Linked DNA regions of Canis lupus familiaris. The protein of the gene in region 2 interacts with the protein of the main gene of each other region in a pairwise test. Links are inferred from orthologs where the notes say so. Each region holds a gene or a part of one and is shown on either strand. Other genes may lie near its edges.

The links.
Region 1: the proteins of TARBP2 (region 2) and ZNF346 interact in binary tests that used the Homo sapiens proteins (3 or more experiments, as listed by UniProt). The two-hybrid records come from large-scale screens. The link is inferred for Canis lupus familiaris from reciprocal best matches to the Homo sapiens genes TARBP2 and ZNF346.
Region 3: the proteins of TARBP2 (region 2) and TCEANC interact in binary tests that used the Homo sapiens proteins (3 or more experiments, as listed by UniProt). The two-hybrid records come from large-scale screens. The link is inferred for Canis lupus familiaris from reciprocal best matches to the Homo sapiens genes TARBP2 and TCEANC.

What each region holds. Positions count from the first base shown.
Region 1 is NC_049225.1:37,188,147-37,191,894, reverse strand, and holds the start of ZNF346 (zinc finger protein 346), read left to right. Parts: upstream 1-1,394; 5' UTR 1,395-1,441; coding exon 1,442-1,616; intron 1,617-3,748.
Region 2 is NC_049248.1:44,930,841-44,934,588, reverse strand, and holds the start of TARBP2 (RISC-loading complex subunit TARBP2), read right to left. Parts: upstream 2,611-3,748; 5' UTR 2,326-2,610; coding exon 2,273-2,325; intron 2,182-2,272; exon of another isoform or gene 2,024-2,181; intron 1,710-2,023; coding exon 1,540-1,709; intron 737-1,539; coding exon 634-736; intron 105-633; coding exon 9-104; intron 1-8. UniProt on the Homo sapiens protein: Required for formation of the RNA induced silencing complex (RISC). Component of the RISC loading complex (RLC), also known as the micro-RNA (miRNA) loading complex (miRLC), which is composed of DICER1, AGO2 and TARBP2.
Region 3 is NC_049260.1:10,120,670-10,124,177, reverse strand, and holds the end of TCEANC (transcription elongation factor A N-terminal and central domain-containing protein), read right to left. Parts: intron 1,705-3,508; 5' UTR 1,697-1,704; coding exon 650-1,696; 3' UTR 621-649; downstream 1-620.

The DNA.
Region 1 (3,748 bases), on a different chromosome or scaffold from region 2:
CTTTATTATTCAGTGAGTAATATTCCTTCCACGTCATTCACCCAATATATATTCCTGTTTTATTTTCTCCTTAGCACTTATTACTATCTGTTGACTTATTACACTCTCCTCCACTAGAAAAAAAAAAAAAAAACACTATACTAGAGCTTCCCTGTCCACAACTGTATTCCAATGCCCAAGATAACATCTAACTCATAGTAAACTCTCAATAAGCATTTGAATAAATGAAGTTGAAATATGATAATTATATTAAAAGTTTCATTTTCATTCATTCAACAAATATTTTGTATGTACCTATGAGAGCCCAGGTTCTATTTCAAGATGCTGGGGATTCAACTGAGAACAAAATAGACAAAAATCTCTTTCTTGGGGTATGACTACTAGTGGGGAAACAAAGAAAAAACAAGGTTAAAAAGTAAAAACATACTATATCTGATAATGTTAAGTGTTAAGAAGGAAAAAAATAATAAAGCAGGAAAGAAGGACATGAAATATGTGTGGAGGTGTTAAATTTTAGATAGGGTAATCAGAGAATGAAATGAGAGGCTGAGCCCTGAGGATATACGGGGGAAATGCATTCCAGGTCATGGTAACTGGCACAATAATGAAGGTGTTGGAGAGTAACACAATAAAGGATGAGACAGGGAGGTTAGGGGAGTTGGACTGTATAGAGCCCTTTGGCTAGACTAAGACTTTGGCTTTTACCAAGAGCGAGATGGTAAACTGTTGAAGAATAGGAGCATCAGGGTATCATGATGCGGCTTGTTTTAAGAGGATTGCTGGGGCTGCTGTGCTTCGAATACCTGAAGGGCAAGGGAAAGGACCAGTGAAGACGCTACAATAACCTTGGCAAGAGATGATGGCTCCCCAAGACTCGGGGAGGAGGAGTTGTGGGGATGGAAGATGAAATTTTGGATCCGACAGTCACATTGGGAGAGTTTAAGGGGGAGGTCTGCTCTGGGAGTTAGAACTTGAAACTCAAATGGTATTATTTATTATCAGCAGTAAACCAATCATGCAGATGGAGTCCTGACTCTACCACATCCTGGTAGCAAACTGTTGAGTCGACTATTTCTAGGTTCTGGGCCTCAGTTTCCCTAAGTAAAATGGAGAAAGTGTTCCCACATAACAAGGGCCTTCAAGAGAATGAAATGAGAAGTGTTGAAGGCTGACAGTGAGCAAGGTGAAAACCTTTGGCTTAAGACTGCACGAACCTGTACCAGAGGGAGGGGGCTGCTGTTAAACCAGAGACTGACTTTCAATTCCACAGCACACACTCCGAGAACCCCCAGCAGCGACCAAAGAGAAGCGTGTGGGCCCCCTACCGCAAGGCGGTCCGCAGAGCCCAAACCTCGCGAGATTTGTTGGCCGGGCAACGTCCCACATCTCGCGAGACCAAGGTTTATGAGTGACTATCGGCCGGTTAGGGCTTGCTGGAAAGATGGAGTATCGCGGGTTGGGCACCGTAGAGGCCGCGGACAGTGGAGGGGCCCGGCCATACAACAGCTCCGAGGAACGAGAAGGACGGGAACCGGACGGGCTGCGCTTCGACCGCGAGAGGGCGCGCCGCCTCTGGGAAGCAGTGTCCGGGGCCCAACCAGTGGGGAGGGAGGAAGGTGAGTCCGGGGACCTCAGAGGCAGCGAGTTCAACCGCCCGCTCATTTCACGGGGAGGGGCGGGAGCGCGGGGCGGGAGCACGGACAGCCCCCGGGTCTCCGGTCACACCCCCTGGCGCCCGGCCCGCCCCCTTGCGTGACGCGCCCCGGGACTCCTGGACTCGTGCACCCCAGCAGGGCCTGGGTACCATGGGCCAGGCACCCCGAAAATTGAGGCCGCAGCACCACAGGAATGAGGTCTCCGGGCTTAAATGGTCAAGGCCCCTCTCGTACTCCGGTCCCTCCATTCTCACCCACCAGAGCGCAGCTCTTCTTCAACTCTTCTTAAACGACTTTCATTCCTATCCATCCCTTCTCGGAGACCCACGGAGCCTTCCCCGCCAGACTACTAGCCCCCCACCATTTCTCACAGACTCCATCGTCCCAGTCCACAGGTTCCCCCACCCCTATGTCCCTTGCCTCCTTTGCATCCTTTCTCTCATACCCCACACTGCCAAGGACTCCAGAAGGTCTTCTTTTTTTTTTTTTTAAACATTTAAGATTTTTTTTTTTTTAAGATTTATTTATTCATGAGAGACACAGAGAGAGAGGGGTAGAGAGAGAAGCAGGCTCCACGCAGGGACCCCGACGTGGGACTCGATCCCAGGTCTCCAGGATCACACCTTGGGCTGCAGGCGGCACTAAACCGCTGAGCCACCCGGGCTGCCCGTCCAGAAGGTCTTCTTAACCCTATGTTCCTCCTGGCCTTGGTGTCTTGAACCTGATTTACCCCTGTTTCTAGGTGTCTGGTCTCAACTGCCTGGGTCCTTTTTATGAGGTGAGGGCCGGGAGACTGAGAAACTGGCCAGAGTATACTTTGGCTCCAGCTTCTTTGTATCCCATGCTTGTGCCAAAGTTGTGGAGAACAGGATACAGGAGAGGCCACTTCTGGGCTGAAAGCTTCCCAGCTTGCTCTGCATTTGACCTGGCACTGGGTAAAGTGGAGATAGAGGAGGATGGTAAAAGCTGGCCTGACTTGGTTGTGTGACCTCTTTCATAGTCCTTAGCAGTTAGCTGCTTAACTCTTAGCCAGAAGTACAAGAACTGTTTGGCCTGTGCTAATCCTGTCAAGTAATCTATAGGGAAATCAGATAATTTGTTTACTTGGTGAGCAGACTAATCTTGGAAAGTTTAATGTATTGCTTGTGAACTGATTACCCTGGAATAAAATGGAATTTTGGCCACATCCAAGGAAGGTATGTTTACATTTGGGGTGGTACACAGACCTATGCCCTTTTGTATGCTTCTCCAATTTAAAAACTAGTCTAGTCTGACTCCTAAATTAATATGGGCCCTCTTTCTGCCTCATAATTTCAAACTTGTTTGATACAAATCCTCCCCCAAACACACCCCAATTTTCCTTTCACTAATTTGACAAACATTCATTGATACCTGCTCAGTACCCAGGATGGCTGGGCATCAGAGCTACAGAGATGAGGAAGATACTGTCCTTGTCCTGAAGGGATTTTATAGTTCTAGTCCAGGAAGCAGACACCAAAACAGTTTCAGCTTAATGTAATGGGTGCAGTGAAGAAGAATGTATAAGAATTGGTTGTGCACAAAGAGGGAGTGACCTTTGTCCTTGAGGGATAAGAAGGGATCGCTTGATCTTGAAGCAGAGAACACAACAGCTGTGCTCTAAAAAGTGAATTGCTTATGTGTCTATGAATGTACAGTGTCACTTAGGACCCAGCTCATTTTTCCTACTCTCCTCACTTTCCAATAATTATATGAGGCCTAAGTAGATACCTGTAACCCCAAGTTCTACTCCTCTTTGTTTTGTTTTTCTCTTAGCAACTTTTTTTTTTTTTTAACATTTATTTATTTATGAGAGAGAGAGACAGAGAGGGAGAAGCAGGCTCCATGTCGGGAGCTCGATGTGGGACTCGATCCCGGGACTCCAGGATCGCGCCCTGGGCCAAAGGCAGGCGCCAAACCACTGAGCCACCCAGGGATCCCCTCTCTTAGCAACTTTTATTGATAATTTATATACCATAAAATTCACCCATTGTAACTGCACAATGCAATGATTTTTTAAGTAAAAGTACAGAATTGCGTTTTAGAATATTTCCATCACTCCAGTTAATTCCTTT
Region 2 (3,748 bases):
CAAGATACCTGGTTGGAACAGCAGATGGAACAGGAGTAGCAGCCGCTGCAGCAGTAAAAACTGGAATGTCCTCAGGCAGTGAAGAGTCTAGGGGAGAAAAAGAACTTCCCGAGGGGAAGGGGGCCTTTGATTCACACCCATGTGGGCAGGGGTGGGGTGGGGAGTAGAGGGTGGGGACCCAGGTCCTCCTGACCTGCCCGTCCCCTAAGAAAACCCCTTCCCACTGGAGCCAAAGACTCAGGGAAGCTTAACCACCACCTTCTGGGATCCTTTGCTGCCAAACACTGGATCAAAGCGACTGAGACAAGGGGAAAGACGGTCTCTTCCTACACAAGAGCCACGGAGGCAACAAACCCCAATGTAAGTGTGCAAGAGGGGAGGACAACCTGCTAGAGAGAGGAGGCGTGTTGGGGTGCGACCCCTCTAGCCTCAGCCTCCGCCCCTTTCCCTCCCTAGCCTGGGCCCACACCACAGCCACAGCCCCTTGACATCCCCCCACAGGATCCTTCACAACAGCGGGAGCCCTGGAAGCATCCCGCCCTGTCCGGCCAGGTCAAGGTGGGCAGAGGAGGTAGCGCAGGGGCCTGGGTTCCTGGCCGGGTCTCTACGAGGCCTCGGCTGGTCCTCCCTCACCTGCTGTCCTCCAGGGCCGGCTCCAGCATGCTCCCCCCTTTGAGGTGTTTGAGGGCCACCTCAGCTGCCTTGTGCTTGGCTGCCTTCTTGCTGGGGCCCTGACCTGAGAGAGGGGCGTGGGCGATACTGGAGGTCACTAGGAGGACAGAAAAGCCGGCACCCACAGCTTCTCTCCTCAGGGCTGGAGGGAGTCAACCAAGCCCCTCTCACCACCTGCCCCTGCCCAAGACCGGAAGTGCTGCGCTAATTACTAGAAGGGAGGGCTTCTGCTCCCCAGAGCTCCCCAAATCAAGCCACGCCAGGCACGACTGCTCTGGAGCTCAGACACCCTGGGCAGAGACGCTTTCCCGGCTCTCCTTGCCTCTGGGAAGTGCTTTCTTTTCTCTCAATACATAGAGATGTCTGGGAAAGTAGAAAGAGGGCAGGCTCCGGAGTCAAGGCCCCGCTCCGCCACTTCTCAGGCCCGGGACCTTGCACCACTCACATCCACCCCGAGCCTTGGCTCCCTCATATTCAGCTCGGAGGTGCTATCCCCCACATCCCTGGATTAGACTGCGATTTAAGACGAACTAGGAATTTGGTCAAGCACCTGGAACAGAGCCCAGTGCAGCAGGCACTCACTCCTTCGAAACTTCGCTGAGAGTTTGGTTCATCCCGTCTTTCTCCTCTAGGATGACGACAATGTGCCAGACCCCTCTGGCGGTCCTGCTTGCTCCTCTAACTCTCCGGAGTCCTACCCGCCTCCTCAAAGACCCGTTCCCCCAAACGAGTCCGTGGCTTTTCCCCCTGAAATCTCTCCTTCCCTCACTGGCCTTGGAGCAAAGGACTGGGGAGAGACTCCAGGACACAAAGCCACCAGGGCCCTGCGGATGCACACCCCAGCCAGGCTGCCCAAGCCTTCCTCACCAGTGCAGCTGGTGTCGCCAACGGTGACCCGGAAGGTGAAATTAGGCTGGTGGGCTTGGCCCTCGGCTTTGAGAAGGTCGTACACGGGCGTCTTCCCTATTCTGGTCCCATACTCCTGCAGAAGGCTGATCGGGGTCTTGCCCGGGTTGGCTGCCAGCATTTGCTCTATACTGGGGGAGGCGGGGGCAGGGGGTCACGGACCCTTATCACACCTCCAACTCTGCGCCCACCCGGCCAAGCACTGTCGTATCAGACCCAGGCACACTATGGGGGGACACGGGTCCAGGGGACCCCGGGCAGTACAGCACACATTGGCTGGGTTCAGTGTGGAGTAGAAGCGGGCTGGAAGCCGGGTCCACGGCCCCCAGAGCACGCGGGCAACGCACTGTTCCTGTCTCAGTTAAGCAGGAGGAGGATCCTGCACCCCAGTGCAGTTAGGAGGTGCATGTCCCCACACAGTGCAGCCCAGGGACCCGGTACCCACCAAACGCACTGAATGTCGGGAGCACAAAGCCCAGTGCCCCAAGTGCAGTCTGGGAACCGGGCCAACCCCAAACTATTTAGAGCAGGAGGCCGTGGCCACTGCCGGGGTGCATGCCGGGAACCACGGCCCACTACCCCGGTGCTTGCCGGGAACAACCCTCGGGCCAGGTGCATGCTGGGGCCGCGCCGCTACCACCTCCGCGCCGCGCCACGCTTCTCGCCCGGCAGGGGTCGGCTCGAAGCGGCTCACCTGGGCAGCCCGCAGCCCGTGGTGGTGCCGGAGCCCTGCTCCTCTTCACTCATTCCCACCTCCGTGCCCGCGGGCCCCACCGTGACTGCAGCCTCCGCGCGCCCCAGAACACCGCCGACGAGCTAGGGCCGGGGCCGAGCCCCGAGTCGCGGCCGGTCGGGCCCGCCGCGGGGCATGCCGGGACATGGAGTCCCCCGCCCACCCGCCTCCCCGAGTCTCCATCGGGAGGGGAGCCGCCCGCCCCACAAGCCCCCGCGGGCGTCGCCCGGGGATGCGGCACCGCCTCCTGGGAGGAGCGGAGCCTTCCACGGTGGCCTCCCGAGCGGAGGGTGGCTTTGTGTCCGTGTGTCCGTGTGTCTGTGCGTGTGAATTTTTTTTTTTTTTTAAATAGCGTCCCGCCTCTTTTCCGCGTCTCCGCTCCCCGGAGTGGGCATGCGCGGGAGCAGAGCGGAAGCGGCTGGGGGCGGGGCGCTAAGGCCTAACCGGAGCGCCGGGTCCGCAGGCTCCCGAGGAAACTACAGAGACCGGCAGCTCGCGCGCCATCTTTGTCGCCGCGCAGGGGCAGGCGCAGGCGTGCGCGGAGAGCTCCGCGATAGGATTGGTCGTGTCCGATTGCGCTGGCTCGCTCTAGGCACGTTGCGATTGGTTACTGAGCCTCGAGGGGCGGGGCCAGGAGCGAGGCAGCCCCTCGGCCCCGCCCCTTTGTTGAGGAAAGGCTGCGATTGGTCCAGGGAAGAGGGGCTGTCGCACCCTGGCTCGGCGCGGGCTGGGGGTGGCCTCACCTGGCCGCGGGAGGAGAGCGCTCGAGCCCCTCCGCGCTGGGGCCGGCCGGCCGGCGGCCCGCAGTTCCTCCTCGCTCCCGGCCCCGGGGCCTTCGTCTCACAGCCCCTGCTTCGTGTTCCCGGGTTGCCCTTCATTCCCTGCCCCTAGTTCTGGCCCGCAGCCTGTCTGGTTTCAGGTCTTCTCTAAAGCCTTGCTGGGCCGTCCCCAGGGAACCTCTCCGTAGGTGGCCCGGGACCCTCTCTGGGGCCTGAGAATCGGGCTGTAGGGGCGACAGCATTAGGACTCACGCACACCGTGGTCTCGTTCCCGCGGCTGTGGGTCTGGGGTCTCTCGGCCGAAGAGACAGCAGGAGAGGACTCCGGCCTCTGAACGCTAACCCGCTAACTGGGTGCAGAGCTGCAGCCCCTCCTCCCTAGGGTGTCCCGGCCACCGGGTTCAAAGATGTAGGAGAATCTCGTGACCTTGGCGAGACACCACGAAAATGCCTGGTTCTAACGAGCGTCCCGAGGCTGGGCCAGGTAGTGGAGAGCCGGGGGAGCCCCGGAACGGCGCTGAGGAGCTCGGGCACTAGGCTCGGCGGATTCCAATTGGGTAGAGCCGGAGTGGTGACGGCGACGGGCAGGGCGGCTGGCTGGCTCGGCAAGGCAGGGGGAGCCGCGCCAGAGCGCTGGGCGGCCGGGGTCCCCGCGCGGA
Region 3 (3,508 bases), on a different chromosome or scaffold from region 2:
GCTCCCCAGAGGACTCTCATAGGCAGCCGCCCAGGACTACAGGCCTACTGAGAAAGCAGCACTTCTCAAACCGTCTTGAACAGGATCACCTGGGGCTCTGCCAAAATGCAGAGTTGGGACTCAGGAGCACGAGGCCTGGGACTCTGCATTTATAACAGGCTCTAGGGCAGGAGGAGCTGCTCTCAGCCACACTCAGAGAACAGCAGAGTAATATGTGGCCACAAAACAAAAAGTCATCAACTCTCTCCCCAAACGGTCACATTTTAGTGATTGTGGTGTGAGCTTGAACGAATGACTTTCCTTCCTTCTTTGTAGGGTTGTTTTAAGAACAGTGTGTATTAGATTTTATTTTATTTATTATTTTTTAAATTTTTTAAAAAAGATTTTATTTATTTATTCATGAGAGACACAGAGAGAGAGAGAGAGAGGCAGAGACACAGGCAGAGGGAGAAGCAGGCTCCACGCAGGGAGTCCGATGTGGGACTCGACCCCGGGACTCCAGGATCATGCCCTGGGCTGAAGGCAGGGGCTAAACCGCTGAGCCACCCGGGCTTCCCCCCTGTATTAGATTTTAAAAGCAAGCATAACAGGGTGGTATCAAAAAAAAGGCATCACTCTGGTTCTTGGTTAAGAGAACATTTATTTACAATTATAAGCACACCCACTTGCTATGGTACCACTGCTCCCCACATTCATTACAGATCACATAGGTCATCATCTCCTCATCTGGATTTGAATTCCGTACCCAACTTGGAAGGAAAAGTGTGCCTCTGGCGATTACGGTGACCTTGCAATTGAACTTCTCACAGCGTCTGCATTTTATTTTTCTTGTGTGTGTGCCCTCGATCGCTTGGGGAAGGTGATGCTCCTGTATGCAAGATTCCGTGTAGGAGGCTCTCAACTGCTTCAGTTCCTTGTTTGCCATTTCCATCACAGTCATCTTGGCAAATTCTCTCGGAGACATGGTCCCAGAGAGCAGGTTTTGTTGTAAGTGAGAATTTTTGGGGTTCCTCAGATTGGCAACTTTGCTTCTCACACAAGTTTTGTATTTTTTGAGGTTCTTGGAATGAAGGGTAAAAATGTGCTCTTCAATTTCTCTTGCAAAGTTTCGCCACAAATCAGCTTTGGGCTGCTCTGTGAAAGGACTAGTTAAAGCTTCATAAAGAAGCTCTGTGCATTTAGCTCTCACAGGTACCATGGGATCCAGCAACTCACTGGATCTCTGGGCAGTGGATTTAGGGTCACCACTCCTGAAATGCTCCTCCTTAGGTTCCGTCTGACTTGTGCTATTTTCAGGCACAATCATTTCAAAGGCTTCTGCAACACTGTGGGATGAAGAATTAGAGCTGGAGCCGCCTGATAGCTCATCCTGACTTGGGTCATGAGAAAGTCTTGAGTTTTCTTCATTTCTACCCGTAGGGAAAGATTTGTCCCTCGGTTTGAAGTGGAGATCCTTTTTATAAAGAGCTTTCCATTCTGACAGCAAGTGCTTGGCTTTCTTTTTCAAAGCCACCGAGGGGCAGTGTTTGAGGACTCTGTACACAGCCCTGACCACAATGGTCTCCTGGAGATCTTCTTTCGTCACACACAGAGTCTCCAGGTCAGTAAGGTGGTTGCCAAGATCCTCAAAATTCCTTTTAGACAGCAGTTGCTCAATAAGGGAGGCGCTGGCAGCTATCTGGTTCTTGTCAGACATCTTTACAGCTGCAAGGAAAAGAGAAAAGAGGTTTCTGGTTTTTTCAAGCTTGTGTTTGCCAGTCAAACTTCCTGATAATAGCAGGGCACTTTCTGCCAACTACCTATGTGGTGTTTTCTGAAAGAGTTGTGTAACACAAGTGGGTGTGACCTGTTAGAAAATGGAATCTGCAATGTGGTATGGTTTAGTTTCAAAAGGCTGAGTCTCAGTAGTTGGAAAAAGAAAAAAAAAGCGGCACTGTAACCAGCTTCCGCATTAACGGTTGCTTAAAAGAAGCTTGTTGGAAGAGCTCTATAACTTTTTCCATCCCAAATTTTACAGATTAATAGTCTTTCTGGATCTAGATGGGTCAGTTGCTTTGGATGGAATTTGGTGGTCACATTGGGCATGAGATCATGCCAGTGTCAGCATCAACAGGGTAAGTGAGCAAGGCTGGCCCATTTCTTCCCATATTCAGTTATAAAGCTGAACTACTTGTGGATTTTATCATCTTTAATTGGTACTTTTCTGAATATACAAGAATGAGAAACAGGGCAATAAGGGGATGCTATTTAGATGTTCCAAGGAATGTGACAAAATCATGAGATAATAGAGGCTACAAAGCAGCTGGAGCCAGATCTGATAAGCCCGAAGAGCCAATAGGCACTGTGCTGACATCCGAGTCTTCTGAAAAACAGGGTAAGCATTCAGACTAAGCAATCTGGACATTTTATGACTTTGGACCAACTAGTCGTAGGCCAGTTTGGTTCCATTAACTTTTTTGTTTAGCTTCTAGGTGTAAAAAGTTGTTTGATGATTATATCTGTGTGAATCTCATCCCAGGCAGGTGTTTATCTAACCATTCTATTTTTCTCTCCTCATAATGTACATAACCTTGCTACCTAATACCCTTGTACCTACATCTGCTCATCTGGTCTAAAAATGGACATATGCATCTTGATGCCATGGACCGTGTCTTTTCAAAAACTCATGGGCTTCCATTTTATAGCACTTGATATTAAATGCCCATCACTGGGTCCCCTGGGTGGCTCAGTCGGTTGGGCATCTGACTCTTGGTTTTGGCTCAGGTCATGCATGGTCTCAGGGTCATGGGATAGAGCCCATCTTAGGCTCTGCCCTTAGTGAGGGAGTCTGCTGGACTCCCTCTCCCTCCCCCTTTGCCGCTTGCACATGCACTCTCTCTAAATACATAAATAAATAAAATCTTAAAAAAAAAAAAGCCCATCACTAAGCACATAGGCTAATAACACCGAAGGGAGCACAGAGAAGATCAATGCAGCCTTCTTATTTTTTATTTTTTAATGCAGCCTTCTTAGAAACCATATGACAAGTTCTGTAAAATGCAATGTTCTTTTAGTCAGCAATTCTACTTCTGTAAGTTTACATTAGGGAAACAAAAGATGTGGAAGCTGTACATGTAAGAATTTTCTTCAAACTTTGAAGCAACTGCAAGGTCCCAAATGGCTAAACTTGCACACAAAATGTGCACAGCAGCATTATTCTTAATAGCCAAAAAGTAGAAACAACCTGAATGTCTGTCAACTGATAGATAAACATGTAGCCTATCCATACAATAGAATGATATTTGGCCAAAAAAAAAAAAAAGAAATTCTGATATATACTACAACATGGATGAACCTCGAAAACACTATGTCAAAAACACAGAAGACCACATATTGTATGATTCCATTTATATGAAATGTCCAGAATTGGCAAATCTATAGAGATGGAAAATAGACTGGTAGTTGACTAGGACTGGGGCAGAGGGATGAGGGGGGCAGTGGGGTGGAATGAAAGGGGGGTGGCTGTCAA